Linked DNA regions of Styela clava. The protein of the gene in region 2 binds, or shares a complex with, the protein of the main gene of each other region. Links are inferred from orthologs where the notes say so. Each region holds a gene or a part of one and is shown on either strand. Other genes may lie near its edges.

Region 1 (3,758 bases), on a different chromosome or scaffold from region 2:
TGAGATATTATTAGAATGGTTAGGTTTAGCTAGGTTACAAGCCCTCATTTGAACAAAAAAAAGTTTTTACGTTGAACAATGAATTGTCAGCCAGGACAAATTTATTCGAGTGTGCACTATTTGTTTATAACACTCATTCTGTAATAATCCTCATCTGTTCATTCTCAAATTTCTTCTTTTTTACTATTTTAGTGCTGGAATCCTTGTGCGGAGTATTTGTAACCTCACAACTGGTAACCAAGGAAAAGTGGAATAATCACCAACATTGTTCTCCATTTTACTTTTTTTGCTGCTATAAACCAGCTTTCTCAATATAACGAACCAGTGAGAGAAATGAGAACTATTTAGATTATGAAATATATAAGAATATGATGGGACTCTGAAGTGTGCTTCTGCTCTGTTGCACCCTAGTGACTGAAACTAATGATGGAATATCTTTTCAATTTGTTTTCTATGATTTTTTGTTTGTTATTTTTTAAAATTATGATTGCCTTACAGCATTTTTGTCAATCATGTCATGAATGAATTTTTATGTTCTATTTTGACAACAATAGTACAATACATTCCTGTTGAAATTTTGTTTGTCATGTTCCTTCCTATTCATGAACCCTGTCACAATTGAAAATGTACTTTTAGTTGCTTTACTATTTGCTATTATATGGTGTTCACTCTAACCCTGACACGGGCCCAATCTGGACCGCCTGATGAGCTCGAGGAATTTGTTGAGATTGCAATTAAATTTAGTGTTGGCACAAGGCTTATTGTTTTCCACTTTTGCTTATGTAACACTTTTACGTCACACTTTTATGGCCCGCTAGTCTAGGTGGTCAAAATTTTGGCCCCTGGTCCAAAAACCTTGCCCACTCTGACCAATGCTGTGGACAACTAGAATATCAGAGCTAATGTAGATAGGAAACCATTCCCTGACATTCGCTTGATTCCAATTCATATACACTAGAAATGGATACTAGTTAGATATGTTTCTAACCTGGACAACATTGTTTTAGCACAGTTTACTTGAGTAAAAATATTGTAATATTTTCATGAAATGTTCACAACTCATAAAAGGTTACAACAAAGGACTCGACCGAAAAAAGATTTGAACAGATTTGACTATCTGCAGGTGATATCCTCATATACAATTGTGTTTGTTGGTAGTCGTTTGAAATTAGGATAGGATTTATATTATTGTGACTGGGGGATTGTATTCTATATTTGTTCGAAAGGAGTTTAGTAACCTATATTCCAGAATGTCTGATAATAGTTAAATATATGTGGAAGCTAAAATTCCTTGGACATATGATAATGGGATTAATTATTTTTCAGGCTCTCGTAACTGAATTTCAGCAAACAAAAAGTGAGTCCGACAAAGAACAAGTTCTAGCGAATCTTGCTAATTTTGCCTATGATCCAATAAATTATGAATATTTGAGGAAATTGCAGGTATTTTAAACAACTGTGTGGAATGAAAATCCCCTTGTTGAGGAGTATATAGCATGCTTTAGACCAGTGGTTCTCAAACTTTTTAAGCCATGCCCCCTTTTTGGAATTTTTCAAGTCTCACGCCCCAGCCTGAAAAATAATAATTGACTACAAATAATTAAGCTACAAATAACTGATAGTAAGGAGAAAGTATGTTTTTTCAAACAACACATTGAAAATACGTGGATGGAACGTAAAATAAGGAAATATAAATATGCAAAATAGGTGAGCAAGATCAAATCTCACAAATATTTTTATTTTAAATTAGCTTCACAGCCCCCTCAAATAATTGTCTACGCCCCCTTGTGGGGCGCGCCCCACCATTTGAGAACCACTGCTTTAGACTTTTCCATTTATTCTTCTCCTATTCAATATATTTTGGCTTAATTGTCGCAGCAAGAACTACGAGTTTAGATCGCCAATTATCAGTCCATATGACCTGGAAATCTGGAATGTTTTATTTTCATCAAAGGGCAGGCCTCTTTCATGAATTTATCGCATGTAAATCTCAAATCAGTTTGAAATTTACTTCCCTCTGCCAGTTTAGATGGAATTATTGATATGATGAAATTCAAATGCCATGTTCTATTATCCTAATCCAAGTGTAAAAATCTGAAAGCGCTCATTGATCTTCCAGGTAGTCGATCTTTTCCTCGATTGTTTGACAGATGATGAAGACATTAATTCAAAAATTTCAGAGTTTGGAATTGCAGGACTTTGTAATATAACGGCAGATCCTAAGTTCAGGGATTATGTTCTGGATGGGGATGATAGTGTACAACTTATCATGAGATGTCTTTATAGTGTTAATACCGAAACTGTTCTTTCTGGAATGACAACATTGATGCAGCTTATTCTACCACAATCAAGGTAGGTAAGTTATTGATCCATAATTGGACTCAGATTGGCCAAGATGCTCAGTGGTATTGGGCATCATGATAGGAATACGCTTGCCACTGCACCTCTGATTACACTACATGGTTCACTGAATCTGCATCACTTGGAGGATAATTATGTGCAAGAAGATGGACTTATCGCTGCCATAGGGTGGTTCAAGTAATGCTAGTTGGTTACTGCTACCTCCGCAATCAAGTCCATGCATTTGAAAACAGAATAACTGGCTAACCAGAGCTCGAAATGGACTGGTAACCGGATGAGAGTCCCGCGTTTGCAATAAGATCAATCTTGTCGAATTGTGTTTCAATTACAGGAACTTGATTATAACTCCTGCATTGGTCAAAAATTTGAAAGTTTTCAAAGAATCGGAGGATAATCGAATCTCAAATCTTGCCACTGTATTTTTGGAGGATTACTGTGTGAGTGAAAATAAAGGAAGAAAGAGGTCATTGAATACCTAAAGCAAAATTCGAAGGGTTCACCTGAAGAAGGTTCAGTTGTTAAATGCTGTTGGACATTGTCATGCATTGATCTCAAATGTATAGCAAATCCAGTAAAATGTGATGGTTGGCTTGAGTATACAAATGCTTGTTTGAAGAAAACTGTTTGGATAAGGATCCCCTGATGAAAGTACTTCAGTATTTCTCCGCAGTAATACTATCGGGGATCTAAATAGGAGCGACTGGTATAAAGACTGCCCTCAATTCATCCGAAATGGATGAAAACTTTGATTGTTAGTTTTTAGCACGTTGTAATGTTCGTTTGCACTCTTTTTCACCGATAGTTGTGCTTCTAAGGCAGGGCTACTCAACTGGCGGTCCGAATCCGGCCCTCCCGGGTATTCGTTTCGAACCGCGCCTTATTCTTTATTTTGGATCATTAGCCCCACTTTTTGAGTTTCCTTTCCTAAAATAACTTTTATGGATTTAAATATATATGAAAAGAACTATAACGCCATAATAAACAATCCTGATTAGCTAATAATCATTAGTCGGCCGAGGAAGTGCGTGTTTGAGGATGCCAAAATATGGAAATCTGGAAAGACCGGACCCAAATTTTTTTGAAGTTTTGTATGCGGATCTTCAGTAAAAATAGTTGAGTAGCCCTGCTCTAAGGTACCATATGCAGAGTGTGAAAGGGATTTTGGCCACATGTAGCTGACTCTTGTGACATTTGATTCCGAATGACTGAATGCATACTTCACTGTAAAATGAAATTCATATTAAAAAACACATGGGCCGGAAGTTAGTGTTTTGCTATTATGGATTTGATTATTGACGGTCGTGGCTTCTGATCTGTATCCCCCCATTTGGTGTAAATAAAACGATTTGGGATTTTAGTGCTTTTAATATATACCTACTCCCTCCAGTTGAAACAGG
Region 2 (3,758 bases):
CACGTTCAAATATGGCTTGTGCATCCCTGTCTTTTTCTGTGTCTAGTTCATAAGTCCTTGTTGCTCCCATATCATCAGGTCCTGATGGTTTCTAAGTGAAATTTAAAAAAAAAAATGACTGAATCATAAGCTTCTTACAAAGGAATTGTCATTCTAGCAAAAGAGTGTACTTGATTAAATATCCTGATACGGGAGCGGTGCATAGTGCTAAGAAATGAGTACGTACTCGTCATCGCACCTCTGATTACACTGCAGATTTGAATGAATCCTGTGGGAGACGACTATGTGTGAGAGGATATTTAGACATATGATTAAATCGTCTTTCCTCTTACCAGGATAATTATAATGGAAGTCCTGCCCAATTGAATCAACTAATTATAGTGCAGAAAAGGTAGGAAAGTACTACTTAAAAAAGTCTGCAAGAATTGAATTTTATTCAAATATAGGATAGGATTTACATATTTATACCGGGGTATATAGGGGTCATTTTCAATTTTCAGCCAGGTATATAGTAAACTGGTAAGAAAACGAGTTAGTTGTTGTAAATTTATTACTATGGACAAGCCTAGTAGCGACTACTTGACATTCTAAGTAGGTTCTTTGACAATGGCTGACATGAAATAAATACACAAATCATATTTAAAACAACTTACAGCAGTCTTCGATGATTTGTAGGAAACACTGATTTTATTTTTATCGTCATCAGAACCTTCACCGCTACTACTGCTACTGTAATCTACTTTTTCTTTTGTGAACTTCGCACTCTGTAGATAAAAACACATTTTATGATATTAAAGGTTTCACTTGCTAAATTGTAGAACCTTACATAAAAGAATTACGGGAAATTAAAAAAAATCAGAGTCCAAAGTCAATTACTGAGTCGGGTCTCGCTGGCATTTAGTTGATAACTCCGAGTCAATTTCATTCAGACGGCTTTCCGTGGCTTATATAAATGGTGATTGTGTCAGGGACTCGGGTCTTCCAACATTGTAAATTATATGGAAGTGATGATGAATGAATGATCATTTTGTTTCATTCAATTATACAGACTCCACCGACTCCACCTGGCGTATCGATTGTGCTTCATCTGTGATAGAATAGCTTCATAAAAACATGACGATAATTTCTTGTACAGAGATGAATCCTATGACATACTGTGATACAAGAACAATATCTGAATATATTTACAACACCAAATTTCTGGGCAGTTATAGGTAAGACAGGAAAAGGTGGCAGGGCGATGTCCTATCCTAACCCAACACAGACAGAATCGAATAAAACAAAGCAGAAAATGAACGGCGGGGCAATGACAAAATATTACCGATCTATCTAACTACTCACCGATTGAACCATTGGATTCATCTTTCTCTTCTTCTCTTTCCTCACAACAGTTTCCTGGTCTTCTTCATCACTACTTTTTTTTTCAATTTCATCACCGCTGTCTTTTTTCTTTCTTCTATTCCTACCACGAAACTGCAAAGTGAAAATTTTATAAAGAATTAGGTTTTCGTGTATTACATTTTTTTGAATCAAAACTTAGTAAAACCGTCTAATCTGAGCGTTTTGTACAGTTTATGCTTTTAAGATGACAACACCTATTGCTAATATAACTGATTAAAAATAATAGTTATAACTGTTAGAAAAACACTTCTGAGTTCTGAGTCACACAAGTTCGGAGCATAAATGAGTAACCAAATTCAGAAACATTTAGAACACCAAAAACATTTTCTGATTTTAGATGAGTTATTCGAGAACTTGGATAAATGGACATATATTATAATTAAGTGCTGTATGGAAATATGTGCTTCAGGTAATAAAAAAATTTTGGTCAAGAAAATGATCAGTATATAGGAAGACTCATCTTGAACCCGGTAGAAAGCGACAATATTCTCAGATTGAAAACTAGAATTAATCGCAACTAAGGCTTTATCCTTGATTGGCAAATTAAAGTAAAATTCGTAAAAAAGAAAAGCTGACCTTTCCGGATTTCTTGAACATGTTTAGTTTTCTTCTTTTACACACTTTCTAAAGTTTTATTGTCTGAAACTTGACCAAAACCATCGCAACCCGCGCTTCGCAACGTTTGATTTACAACTTTCAGAGAAATTACTGCAGAGCTTAAAATTAACAAAATTTGTTTTCACTATTATGATGTCACACTTTACTCAAGTGACCGTGGCACGTGGTACACAGCTGATCTGATTCTGTGTGATCTCACTTCCCCAGCTGAATTACTGGCCCATCGGCAGCTCCTTTGGATATTTTGATTTGAAATATTGGTGCAGAGATGGGGAGAACAAATCAACTTCCATATAATTTACCGCAGCTTCAAAATTTAATCAAAAGAGATCCGGTTTCTTATCAAGATGAGGTGAGAGTACTTTAATAAATAAATTATCGTATCTACAAGACGGCCTAAGCTTCGCCCGTGAATTTTATTTCATCGTTTTAAGGTATGCTGTTTATGAATTTATTCTTTTCAGTATGATTGTGTTGATCCATGTCATGTGTTTTTTCACTTGTGTGGTTGAATTGGCACAAATGTTACAGCGTTTGCTATAAACATTTCTCTAGTTTTTCCCATTCTCCCGATCTTCCTGTCGTCATTGTCTGTGTATTTTATTTTTGTTTATTCATGTTCTGTGATGTAGACGAAAGATCAAAATGAAGTTGTACTGTATCTACAATGTCTATTCCGCACATCATGACATTAATACCTTCTGTATTTATCGCAAAATAATGTATTAATGGGCAGATTTGGGTACTGTGGTGTTACAATGCTGGATAATTTTAAGCTGATCTGATTAAATTTGTTGTGATATACCATCAGGATATACATATCTAGTCAAATATTTGTATTATATTTATGTTAACAGTTCGAGCAACAGTATCGGAGATATCAATCCAATATGAAATTGTTTCTTCTTCAACCAAATGAAGAATCGAAAGATCTATCGGAACTCATAACATTTATCGGCCAGGTCAGCAGGTTGTTTTTGCATGTTCTTGTTTATCATTTATGTGTATATTGCATATCGATAAATCTTGTATTCACTAGCTTGTTGTAGCGATAATTCGACATAGGCTGTGATGATGTCAAATTAAATATTATCAATACAAGAATAAATCCAAATTTTGATTTCGAAATGACCATTATTTTAACTCAAAATGGAAGTTTCTGGTGTCGGTGTGAATCATATCTATCAATTTTACTGTTATTTATGAAATTTTCAGAATCGATGTGCAGTGACTTTTACTCAAAAGTTTAAAATTTGCTGAAACTTTGACTTGACTTGAGATCAGATGACCCGTGTGACCTGACTTGATTTGAAACTTGGGGACTAGGGACTTGCACCCAACAGATTTAATTTATCTTAGAAAGAATTATGACTTGTAATTCTAATTTTCAAATATACATCCTCAGTCATCACCATCCTGGAGTTGCTTTTTTGGTAAAGCAGTAGTAATCCAGTCTCAATTCTATCATTATCTGATGTGCTGGCATGTTGAGGTTTTTATATACTAATGTTAAATTGTTATTTTTTATATTTAGGTAGCTCATTGCTATCGAGAGTTGGTAAAAGATTTTCCCAACCAATTACAAGAAATTCTTCAGAAACATGCACTCTCGATAAACCATGAAATGAGACTGGTCAGTATATTTTTAATGTTGATTATCAAAATGTAAAATTAAATACGCTTGCTATTCGATAAAATTAATTTTGTTTAAATATTTCAGAATTTCTGCAAAAGTTTGA

Evidence for each region.
Region 1: E3 ubiquitin-protein ligase RNF113A-like (region 2) and armadillo repeat-containing protein 7-like share a complex: the UniProt entries of both Homo sapiens proteins name them as parts of the minor spliceosome. The link is inferred for Styela clava from reciprocal best matches to the Homo sapiens genes RNF113A and ARMC7.

What each region holds. Positions count from the first base shown.
Region 1 is NC_135259.1:3,197,523-3,201,280, reverse strand, and holds armadillo repeat-containing protein 7-like, read left to right. Parts: upstream 1-987; 5' UTR 988-1,048; coding exon 1,049-1,123; intron 1,124-1,326; coding exon 1,327-1,443; intron 1,444-2,119; coding exon 2,120-2,352; intron 2,353-2,692; coding exon 2,693-2,840; 3' UTR 2,841-3,718; downstream 3,719-3,758. Other genes in the region: transmembrane protein 14C-like, read left to right, coding at 193-256. UniProt on the Homo sapiens protein: As a component of the minor spliceosome, involved in the splicing of U12-type introns in pre-mRNAs.
Region 2 is NC_135251.1:22,359,457-22,363,214, forward strand, and holds the start of E3 ubiquitin-protein ligase RNF113A-like, read right to left. Parts: upstream 2,144-3,758; 5' UTR 1,999-2,143; coding exon 1,978-1,998; intron 1,474-1,977; coding exon 1,342-1,473; intron 765-1,341; coding exon 654-764; intron 92-653; coding exon 1-91. Other genes in the region: protein SDA1 homolog, read left to right, coding at 2,288-2,371, 2,877-2,981, 3,554-3,652, 3,740-3,758. UniProt on the Homo sapiens protein: Required for pre-mRNA splicing as component of the spliceosome. As a component of the minor spliceosome, involved in the splicing of U12-type introns in pre-mRNAs. E3 ubiquitin-protein ligase that catalyzes the transfer of ubiquitin onto target proteins.